3 linked regions of the Tribolium castaneum genome follow. The protein of the gene in region 1 interacts with the protein of each later gene in a pairwise test. Links are inferred from orthologs where the notes say so. Each region holds a gene or a part of one and is shown in the gene's direction. Other genes may lie near its edges.

Region 1 (4,455 bases):
TCATGTTTGATTAACAAGCGTTTTTTTACCACCATTGCTATGCTTGTAATATGCTTTACAGAGTCCTAAGAACTCAAAAAAAAATTCTGCCCAAGCACGAATATCTGTCCTTGTTAATGGTATGCGGTGGCGATTTTAAATTTTTATTGATGCCAGAGGAGGAGATACACTGTACTAGTAATCATTTTTGGTTTTAATTGATACATCCATCATTCATGCATTTTTTTCAGAATATTTTTGTATTGTTTAAAATTGCTTTAAAAGAAAAAAAAATTGTTGAAATCTTATTCTCGAGTAAAAATGATCATTCTTAAACTTCTAGTACCATCTTTCTAAGTAGTTATTTTATTTTTGATATTTAATTCAACATCCAAAAAATGAAATATTGCAAAACTTTTGAATCTACGAAATTTTCTACCCATCTTTGTGATTCATTTTAACGGTTTTTATAAATATTATCAGTAGAAAAGGAACTTAGTACCAGTCCAACTATTTGCACCCTACAGTTGTAAAATTTTAAATACGAACACGAAAAACACAAATTGATAGCGAATAGGACATAAAGAAGACTTTACATTTTATTGTTAAATATTATGTTAATTTAAAATGCACTAATTCCTACAATTATTCTCGAAACCGAGGAATAATGCAGTGTGCATTGATTTACGATTAATTTACTTTTTGTTTATACATGATGGATGGGACACTACCAGAAACTAAAAAACACTTCAGAAATTATTTACCAATTATAGTACGTCAGCTGTCAACAGTATTTTATATTATTGCCTACAAGGCAATGTATGTAAATGTTGGAATTCACTTTAAATAATTATCGTCTCATGTTTTAAATCCACAACAACAAAAAAACTTTTTTGTTGTAAAATACATCAAATACAAACTGAATCGTATATTTTGAAAGAAACTTTGCATTATTAAATTTATTTTGAAAATTACGGTGTCAGGTTGCATTATTCCTGGAATCGCTGAATTAAAATTAAATTAAATAAAAAATTATTTAATAGTCAACCTAAATTCTGTGCAATTATTTATTTCTGAGATACGTATAGTAAAAATATAGTACTTCATTAGTAGTCTCACTTTGTATGGTCGTCATAAGGATAAGCATCTCCTTTTGACATTTGGATTCAAGTGTTCACTTTTAGGTTGAAGTGATACTTTTAACTATTAAATACTAATATTTGTAAGTATGTTTATAAGTATTAAAAAAACTGATAATTACAAATTTTTATGAATATCACCCAATACCCAATAAAATATAAAACCAGTGATAAAAAATTCCTGAAGGCAATGGAACATCTGCAAGCTTTTATCACCGATTGCGACCGTCGCACCGAGGCCGCCAAGCAACGCCTCGCCGAAACCCAAGAAGAACTATCGGCTGAAGTGGCCGTTAAAGCGAACAGCGTGCACGAATTGGCGGAACAAATCGGTCAAAAGCTCGCCAAAGCCGAGCAACTCGGCGAAGAGGGTTTTGTCGACGAAAGCATGAAACTCATGGAGGAAGTGGACGAATTGAGAAAGCGTAAATTGGAAGCCGAGCAAGAGTATCGCAATTCAATGCCGGCAAGCAGCTACCAACAACAGAAATTACGAGTTTGCGAAGTTTGTTCCGCTTATCTCGGCATACATGATAACGATCGACGTCTCGCTGATCATTTCGGCGGGAAATTACATCTTGGGTTTATTAAGATTCGGGAAAAGTTGGCCGAACTTGAGGTAAGGATATTGTGTTTTATGTACAGCTTGTACAGTCACCTAAATTGAAAATGACGCAACCAAACCCTGTCATATTCAAAAATCATCAGAGACATTTCGTTATTTATCCTTTGAAATGATTGACGATTTTTGGTTGGAGATGGTTGATTAAAAAACATGACAAATGAAACAATTTTTCACGGCCTCTTCGATAAATACATAATATTTATATATAATATAAATATATACATGCAATTTTTAAATTCCCCGCAAAAAATAAATTAGTTTGCATATTTCATTCACCAAATTAGATTGAAGTTGATGTTCCACTGGATTTAATGCATTTTTGAATCAGATACTCATTTATTTTACAAGGTTAGGTCAGAGAACGTCTAAAATTAATAAAAATATATTCTAAATTGGTGGTATTTGAATCGCTCTGGTTTATTTTTGTGCGAGATTACATCAAAAATAAAAGAAGAAAAAAGTTATTAGTAAAAATTATGTTATCCTCCCCTCCCCTCTCAAGCCCCGTAACTGGAAAATTACAAAATTAGGTCGAATTGATTAAATTTCGTTTATTTTGTTTGATTTTGAACACGTCAATAATTTTAGAAACATTTTCAAACAAACTTTGGTCAGAAGGTTGTTAAACTTAGTTTTTTGCACGATTTCACTAGAGGAGACCGAAAAAGCACCAAATTAAGTATAGCACTACACAATTCTTGTTTTTTGAGTGTTTTAGCACATTCTCCAGACAGAAATTGCAAAACTTCGTTAAAGTTAGCCGTAAAATCACCAAAACAATTAATTTATTTAGATTATTTCTCTCGATTTAATGCATTTGGACTTTATTTTGCAAGATCATTCTTAAGCTATGTTAACTGGATTAAGCTCTGTTTTGTATGAAATTTTTTGTGGTCAAAAATATGTTATTTGTGTATTTTTGGAAACACGTGTTTGCAAGATATATCTTCAGTTTCTTGCAAGAAATCGATTGAAAAATCATTTTTAGTCAAATAACATTCATTTTCCTTTTCCATATGTTTTGATATAGTTTTAAGGAATTATTTCTTAACATTTTCAAATAAAACAGCAAACAAAATTTCAACAAGTTAGACCCCATTGTTAATTCGAGGTTTTCGAATTTTTAAACAGGTTTTTGAGATAAAAACGGTGTTTTTTTAAGAAAAATTTTGATTATTAGGTTATTTTTACCAGCTTTCGTCGAGAGATCTATCTATTGTTCAAGAACAATAAATTTTAGTTAAATAGTACTGCTATTTCTGCGTTTCCCAAGAATTCAAGCACTTTTTAGAGCTAAGGTATCATTTTTTCTGAAGATTTCGATGAATTTAAATTCAAAATTATCTTGTTTTTGTCTTTTTTTAGCATTATTTAGCAGGATATTCTTATTTAGAATAGAAACTAAGAACAAATCGAAAAGTTTCCCAGTTATACTAAAGTGGGTGTTATTTTAGTTTTCTTCGAGTTTTGTTGAAGCAAAAAAAGTTCTTTTCGAAAATTTTAGGTAAAATTGGGGAAAAAAATATCTAATTAGATCGAAATTGATGTTAATTGTCTTTTTTAGATCGACTTTACAAAAGAACTCGTTAAAACACAACAAAAAATTACAAAATAAATGGAAATTGATGTTAGTGTCTCTCGATTTAGCTCATTTTGGAGCAAAATTACTTCAAAATAAGCCGAAAAACCGTAACATTCGGTCTGAAATCATGTTCCGTTTTTGAGTTAAAAATATTAGGTTTAGAGATGTCGCTAAAGAAAACCAAAAAATCACCAACTTTTGGCTTTTTACACTTTAGTGCTTTATTTAAAAAAAAATGGGCATAAGTGGCTGTAAAAACATCAAATTTGATCGAATTAATGTTAATCTTATTTTATTTCAGTCATTTTCAAGTCTTGAACCTGAAACTTATTTATTCTATTAAATGCTCCCAGAAATCACAATAAATCACATAAAGTGATCATAATAAGATTAAAATATTTTGCCTGTTTCAGGCAATTTCTTTTGTTTTTAAGCGAAATTTCGTCAAGATAGGCTGAAAAATGTCAAAATGTCGACCAGAAAAAGGTTTTTTTTTTCTCAAGCTTCTAAACACGTTTTTGAGTTTCTTAACTAAATAAATCGTGCATAAAGCTCATCTAATTGGCCAAAACTCAAAAAAAATTTAAATTTTTCAGTATTAATTGACCTGCTTTAAGTATAAATTAAATTTAGAAAGTAAATTCACTCCAAACTCAATAATAAATCGACATTTTTTCATTATTCTTTCTTCACATTAGATTAAAATTAACCATTTGGAGACTAGAAACGTCGCAACGAATTAAAAATAAATATTTTAATGCCATCTTTAACGTAGTCAATATCAACCACTTTAAGGAGTTTTAAGTAATTTCAAAATATTTTATACTTTTATATATTGTAGAAAAACGCCGAGAAACGGAAGGAGGAAAAGCGCAAGTCCTCCCGTGACAGAGACCGGGACGATCGGGAAGATAGATACAGGGAGAGACACCGCGAGCAGTATGTCGGGGGGCGCGAACTGGACAGACGCTCCAAAAGACACCGTTCCAGATCCTGGGACCGCAAAGAAAGGGAAAAGAATGACAGGGATCGGGATAACAGGTCTCGATCGCATCGCTCCAGATCCAGGAGTCGGGAACGGCGCTCACACTCGCGCCACTCAAGTTCCAGCGATAAGAGAAGGGACCGCG
Region 2 (4,170 bases), on another chromosome or scaffold:
GAAGAGAAGGGCTATATCTTTCCTCCAGTGTGTTCAAAATTGGTAAAAAGTTTACAAATTTCGAAAACAACTAGTGTAAAAATATTTAATTTTACTGCTACATCACCTAAATCGATTTTTTAATTAATTTTGAAGTTTATCTTTCATTTTTTTTCTGTATTATTTTTTTGTGACGAAAATTCAAAAATTACAACACAAAAACCAAGCTCGGAAAATAAAATCGTTTGAAATGAAGCGTGGTTTCATTGTATTCCCCGGTGTGTTAATTTTCGACACAAATAGATATTACCAATGTGTTAGGTAACGATTTCATAGCTCATTACATTGTTGCAGAGGTGATTCGCAATGAAAGTAATGGATCCGGGTATTGTGTGTTTCCAGCACTGTGGTCCAAAAATTTTCTGTTTCTTGTTGCCGGAAACGTGCCCAGTATGCGGAGCCGATCTTTCGCAAACAAACTTTTCTCTCTTGCCCTTCAGGTACGTGCTTTTATTTTTTTGAATAAATCCAGGTTATCCGTTGATTATTAACTGTTAATTTATTAATTTATTTGCAGAGTTCCGTACCCGTTCATTCGAGCATCACAGTATCCTTGTTCTGTAATTATAAAACCAACATCCGGTGATTTTTTAAAGTAATTGCTCGTTTTATACAATTATAATTTATTACGACCCATTCCTTTCTAGTGATTATTACAATTCGATGGATTTGCACATCGGCGTTACGACCTCGACGGGGACCATCGTAGAATTCGACAAAAACGGCCTTAGGAGGCACCGGAGCGAGCAGTGGAACCAGTGCTTGCTCCTGGACCAAGTCCCAAGTTCCTGGACGGAACATTGGGACAACACTTTGTTCCAAGTTTGTAAACAGAAATGCTGGTCGTCCAAAGCCTACAGTGAAAATAGACATAATTGCTACACGTTTGTGCTCACATTTTTAATGAATTTGAATTATGGAAATTTGAGCAAAGCGGCGAGCAATAAGACGGCTTTTTGTGAAAAATTTATTGTGCCGCGAACAACTTCCGCGGGGAAGTACATTTCGCTTTATAGAAAACTAAAAGAGAGTGACTTTTACGTGCATAGAACGCCACATGGGGCGAAGGGTGCTAAATAATTGTAAAAGCATTATTTACGTTAGTATATTATTTAATACGGATACAATTTTCCTAGTTTGTTGTATTTTGTTATAATATAATAATAAATTATAAACATCACTTCCTTGTAGTTTTATTCTAATTTTAGATAATTAGTCGGGGGGTTTTACGGTATTTAATTTTCAGTGATACCAACACAGATTTTTTCTTCGGTATTAAGCCCAATTCAGGCTGAAGCACAATCGGTAATTCGCCTTTGACATTGACAGCTGTGGCTGACAGTTTTTAAGGTTATAGTTTACGTCTAGTGTGTTTATTTGTGGAATAAATTGGTTTAAAATAATTAATAAAGCAACTTTGGGGTGTCTGTGCGGTTTCTTGTCATATTTTCTTAATATTCCACCGGATTAGGTGTCGACTGATTCCCCTTTAATCTTTTTTGAAGACATTTTCAGGCATTCAGCTAGAATTAATGGGGAAGTAGGTATCCTTTTTAAAAATAATTATGCTGTAACAATACATTGTGGACTAACGTCTCTTACAAATAAGCGTTATGTTTTCTTAATGATTTACATAGACATGAGAAATGGAGAAAGGTCGCTAAAAGAGCTAGAAGGAAACGCATTAGACAGTCTCTAGCAAAAATCAGACATGAAAAAGAGGAGGAAGGTTTGTGTCTCGACTGTTTAATCAACAGCCCAACAATTATTCTTTTCATAATACAGAACAAAGAAGACGAGAACAATCGCCAACATACCTCCAACTCCTCCAAAAATATGAAGAAGAGGAGGCGTTTCAGGAGGAAGAAGAGGCCCGGTTGAGGGCCGAAGCGGAGCAGCGCTGGTTGAAGATCGAAGAAGAGGCCCAGAGACAGTGGCGGGAGTTGCAGAAGAAGCTTGAGGAAGCGCGTGAAGAAAGAATCCGCCAAAACCTTCTTATTAAACTCGAATGGGAAAAGGAACAAAAACGTCTCAAAGAACTAAAAGAAGCCAAGGAGCGCGAACGCGAAGAAAACGAAAAAAGGCAACAACAACTTCGAGACGAGATCGAAAACTTTATCGCCAATGGGGGCGACACCCCTGAGCACCTCAAAGTCAGCGTTGAAATGAATCCAAACAAACCAGTTTGTCCATTTTTCCAAAAAACCTCGGCTTGTCGCTTCAGAGACTCGTGCTCTCGCAACCACATCAAGCCGGGAGTTAGTCGGATTTTGCTCATTCCGAATTTCTATTCACACTATAGTTTAGAACAGACCGAAAATGAATATGATGATTCGTCGCTAGAGTTTGAAAATCACGAGACGTATTCGCACTTTAAGGACTTCTTTTTCGACGTTTTGCCCGAAATGGAACGCTTTGGGCGAATTCGGCAATTTAAAGTTTGTTGTAATCGCGAATCGCATTTACGGGGAAATGTTTATGTGGAGTATAGCACGACTCGAGAGGCTGTTAAAAGCTTTCAAGTCTTTAACGGACGCTGGTATGGGGGCAGACAGCTAAGCGTCGAGTTTTGCAATATTGAGTCTTGGAAGTCGGCGATTTGTGGTGAGTTATCTGTGAGATTATTATTTTCTTTCGCTTAGGGAAAGGTTTTCAGGTTTGCATAGTCGCAAAAAGTGTCCCAAAGGCAGTTCTTGCAATTTTCTCCACGTGTTTCCTAATCCACAAAACATGTTTCATTTGGCTGACAGAGATGAGCATAGGACACCGTCTAGGAGGTAGTAAAATAATATTTAAGGTAGAACTACACTGAGCAAATTTGAAACTCAATTATTAAGAAAAATAACGAACAAATTGTTTTTTACAATTGGATGTTGTTCCTAGGTTAAATCATTACATCACAGACCAGTTGTTATCTCTTTTATCTCGTTTTAAATATTTTTATCAAAATTTTAACGAATTAAAAAATACAGTACGTATTATAAATAAGTCATTAAGGTATTATTAATTATTCGGGAATGCAGTCATGTTTATTTTTTGGTACGTGATATATTGTCTACGTTTCGCCACCTTCTTGGGGCTTCTTCAGGACAATAAATAGTAATTTATTGTCAGATCTATCGATTATATGTGTAGCCTTAAATTGCCTTCGAAAAATATTTAAAAAAATATCCTGCAGGGTTCCGCAGTAATCTGAATTCTTCTGAATATAATTAATCTACGGTAGTAATTATTCTAAAAATATTCAGTTGTAAAAAATTATTTTGTACATATATTACGTTTCTTAAAAATTCAATTCAAATTTTGCGATCAGGCGCTTGTTTGAACGTGGTTTGAACAGGTCCTCTTCAGACACTCTCAGGATAGTTCAACCTTGATTATCCTAAACAGTTTCAGAGATTTATTAAAAAGTACTTCATTTACAGTATTAGCAGATCAGAGACAGAAGAAAGAAATTGGAGGTGGTCCGAATCGCCGGAAAGATTAGAGTACACAACTAGTGAAAAAAGACGTGAAGAAAAACACACGAGAAATGGCTGTAGTTCTAAAAGACGATCTCAGGAAACTTCACATAGTAGAAGTTCTAAAAGTAGAAAAAGGAGCAGAAGTAGAAATAGACGAGAAAATAAGAGTAACAGAAAAAAGTCCAAACACCATTGACTGTAACAAGTTGTTTAGAATAAACGTTTAACATCTACTTTTTATTGGTTTTTATTATTTGCAATGAATACAGTTATTCATCACTTTTGGACCAGCTGTATGCAATATTGGCAAACTTGAAAATTGGTCAACAAAAATATAATAGTGGGAAACCTGGGTGAATAAATACTGATTATTCCCGCAAGTATTTTTTCTCGGATGCGATTAATGAGAGGAAGCGGTGCCAAAAACGATCAATGGGCCCTCCAAAAATCGGTTTTCGCAAAACCTGACCTACGTGAGGCAAATCCTGCGGCTCTATTAATAGGAAAACTATTTACAAAAATAGACTTGTGTCTATTTTGCGACAATCCGGCAAAATTCATTCGACGGTTTTTTGCCGCGCAGAAGTGGAAGAGGATGAGTCACTTCCAAGAACGGTTGTACGTAAATTTGAATGACCGCGGTTTAGTCTCAATTTTTCTAAACGCC
Region 3 (2,884 bases), on another chromosome or scaffold:
GTTACTATGAATTATGTAATGAATCCGCGTTTCACCACACATGCAGTGCTTTTACGCACGTTCCATTTCGTTCCGAAGAGAATGTTTGGGGAATTTTGACAGTCAATAAGAGCGCAAACAGCGAACTTTCCGCGTTGTTAATGTTGTTTTGCACAAAATGCCAAACGTGTTTAATCGGAACAAACAGTAGCTTGTTATTTCTAGAATTACCCACAGTTTTATTGTTTTGGGAAAAATGTTACATTACAACTCATATGGTTACAAAATACATTTCCAAATTCTACACATTGATCGATCAAGGTCTTATCACTACTCTAAAAGCGGTTATTTAATCAATGACTGCAATATAATACGGCCTTGACCAAATTCACCCACCTGTAACTCCCGGAATCCTGTCAAAGTTTAAAACTTAGAACTAAATGACCTTAATCCCTCATAACCGGAAATATTGATCAAAGTTTGCAGAATCCGAAATCCTATTACGAGGTACAAGTTGATTCCTGTTACGGCATTTATTATGAAGCAAAATACGTCAAAATGCCAGACAAACAGGTTGGGTGTTGATAAAAAAATTCGGCTGAAAATTCAAAAACAAACTTTTTTGCCTTATAAGAAAAACGCAATTCACAAACATTACACACGAGATTAAAAAACATTTCATAGTAACGATTAGTCCTTATCTAACAATGTGCTAGTGCTTTTCATCGAATCAAAACAAATAATCCTTAACGGTTTACTGCGTAAACAAATTTTGATAAAACTCGTACGAGGTATTATCAGGTTGAGACTTGTTACGTCCTGCATTAATGCAATATGTTCAAAAAACGTGTGCCGACTTGTCGGGGCAAACGGACGATGTCTTTGAATTTGAATTCTAACGAAACACATTGACCGTTCTTTCCATGAATGGCCAAAATCACCTTTGAACACCTGGCCAAAGTCTGTTCGGCCTTGCCTTCAGGATGCTCTCATTTCACCGGATCAGAATCGGTGAATTCCCTGCAATTCCGGCGGAATATCCACTTATCTTTCGTAATTGAAAAAATCTAGCGTACTTTCAGAATGAGTAATCAAATATTCGAGCTGGGGATTCCTCGAAACTCACATCTCGAGTTCCTTTTATCCCCCTCTTTGCGCAGCTCTGGCGCTGATATAAAAGGAAAACCGGCGCATTTTGCGTCATTACACGGCAAAAACTGGTGAAGTTCGTTACATGTGAAAGCCAAAAGTTAGCTATTACACAACGTTTTGAAAACGGTGTCGTCACATTGTGCCATTCAGGATTACGGAGTGCCCAGTGCCCTAAAGTGAATTCGGTAGTGAAACCCCCAAGAAATTCAACAACCATGTGTATCCTCAAATTGAAAAACGTGGATAAATGCAAAATGATCAACAGGTACTAACTACTAACATTCAATTGCTTGTTGAACTGTTGAGTGAAAGCGTGCCATGGAGCTACAACCCAAGTTTGCTTTTTCTTGCAGAAATAAACTGGGGAGGGCCCTTCAGGGCGTCCTGACTCAGGCCAAGACGGAGGGCCGCTTGATCTGTGGCCTGCTCCCGGCCATCTCCTGTCTGGAGAACTCGTTGGAGGATGTCCTCCTTTGCGTCCTTCCTCAAACCAGACCTGGGGACGCCACCACTCACATGCAGACTGTCCTACTTCAGGCCTTCTGCTTCGAAAACTATATCCCTGTCATTCAGGTAAATACCCTTGAGGTTGTAACCAGTCCAAGTGCTAATTTGTGTTGCTTGTTGCAGGTCGATAGTAGTGAAAAACTAGCACAATATTGCGGATTGGGGTCACGAGTTGGATGTCCTTGCGCTGTTATAACCAAAGACATGGAGGCACAACAGGACCCCCCGCTTTCACCCTCAGAGCAAGAGTTGACAGACTTTTACGAGTGCACCATTGAGGAATTCCCAAGACCTGTCTTGGAACTCCCCGGATGATTGAGCAAAAAATGAACAAGTGGTCTTAATTGTGACCAAAGGTTAAAATGAAATTATACCCAAGTTATACCGGTGACACGGTCCCGGTGTGTGCTATGATTTAGCAGTCATATGAGAATTATTGTATTGTTAATAATTTGTTGATAAGTTTGTATTTGTAATTAATATTGTTCTGGGAACCGTGTATCACGATGAAGGGATTTCGTGATACACCTATTGTACTTATTGATGAATTGAAAATACTGATGTATTTTAAAACAGTTTGTTCGAATAAATGATTTACGATATTTGATGTTTTTTATTCATTGGCCTCATTGACTAAATATGTAATTTGATGGAGAGCAACGTTGGTCATAAAAACTCTGAGAAAATAATAGGTGTTACGACTTGAACTAAATTGACTAAAAGAGTGAAACCTTCAATTTCCATCGGAACTATCTAGTTCATAATGTACTAATTAATCCAAGTATTATGTAATCTTGCATAATAGAGTTAAGTAACTTTTAAAGATCATTTTGGACGTAAAATCCCAACATTTAAAGCTTTATTACACAAACATGTAAACAAACTTTTTTATGGTCAAGTTGGTAAATAAATATGAACTTGTATTCGCTGGCCCGAAGAAAGTATTTTTATTTTAAGTGAAATAAACAAGCAATTTAGTATTTTTCTTCGAACCTTTATTGTAGTATCACAAATTATTTCGTTCGTTAGAAATCTTTTTCCAGCTAAAATTTAAATAATTATTAGCGGTTATTAGAGAAGTTAACCTGAAGTTGTTAATTATGTATAAACCGACTTAAAATTTACATTATATTACATATTGTAAATTTACATATGTTTGCTAGTCTTTATTTTCGGATTTATTTTTGAAATTTTCTTTAAATTATTTTTAAAAATGTTTCTTGTTTAATCATCGTGATTTTATAGA

The links.
Region 2: the proteins of putative RNA-binding protein Luc7-like 2 (region 1) and U2 small nuclear ribonucleoprotein auxiliary factor 35 kDa subunit-related protein 2 interact in binary tests that used the Homo sapiens proteins (3 or more experiments, as listed by UniProt). The link is inferred for Tribolium castaneum from reciprocal best matches to the Homo sapiens genes LUC7L2 and ZRSR2.
Region 3: the proteins of putative RNA-binding protein Luc7-like 2 (region 1) and Gadd45 interact in a two-hybrid assay, tested with the Homo sapiens proteins (2 studies listed by BioGRID and IntAct). The link is inferred for Tribolium castaneum from reciprocal best matches to the Homo sapiens genes LUC7L2 and GADD45G.

What each region holds. Positions count from the first base shown.
Region 1 is NC_087399.1:9,864,786-9,869,240, forward strand, and holds part of putative RNA-binding protein Luc7-like 2, read left to right. Parts: intron 1-1,305; coding exon 1,306-1,737; intron 1,738-4,166; coding exon 4,167-4,455. UniProt on the Homo sapiens protein: May bind to RNA via its Arg/Ser-rich domain.
Region 2 is NC_087398.1:7,930,389-7,934,558, forward strand, and holds U2 small nuclear ribonucleoprotein auxiliary factor 35 kDa subunit-related protein 2, read left to right. Parts: upstream 1-1,337; 5' UTR 1,338-1,571; coding exon 1,572-1,579; intron 1,580-1,676; coding exon 1,677-1,768; intron 1,769-1,824; coding exon 1,825-2,643; intron 2,644-2,695; coding exon 2,696-2,816; intron 2,817-3,464; coding exon 3,465-3,699; 3' UTR 3,700-3,736; downstream 3,737-4,170. Other genes in the region: MKRN2 opposite strand protein, read left to right, coding at 346-479, 557-634, 687-1,119. UniProt on the Homo sapiens protein: Pre-mRNA-binding protein required for splicing of both U2- and U12-type introns. Selectively interacts with the 3'-splice site of U2- and U12-type pre-mRNAs and promotes different steps in U2 and U12 intron splicing.
Region 3 is NC_087396.1:14,217,487-14,220,370, reverse strand, and holds Gadd45 (uncharacterized protein Gadd45), read left to right. Parts: upstream 1-1,159; 5' UTR 1,160-1,346; coding exon 1,347-1,396; intron 1,397-1,484; coding exon 1,485-1,704; intron 1,705-1,761; coding exon 1,762-1,953; 3' UTR 1,954-2,240; downstream 2,241-2,884. UniProt on the Homo sapiens protein: Involved in the regulation of growth and apoptosis. Mediates activation of stress-responsive MTK1/MEKK4 MAPKKK.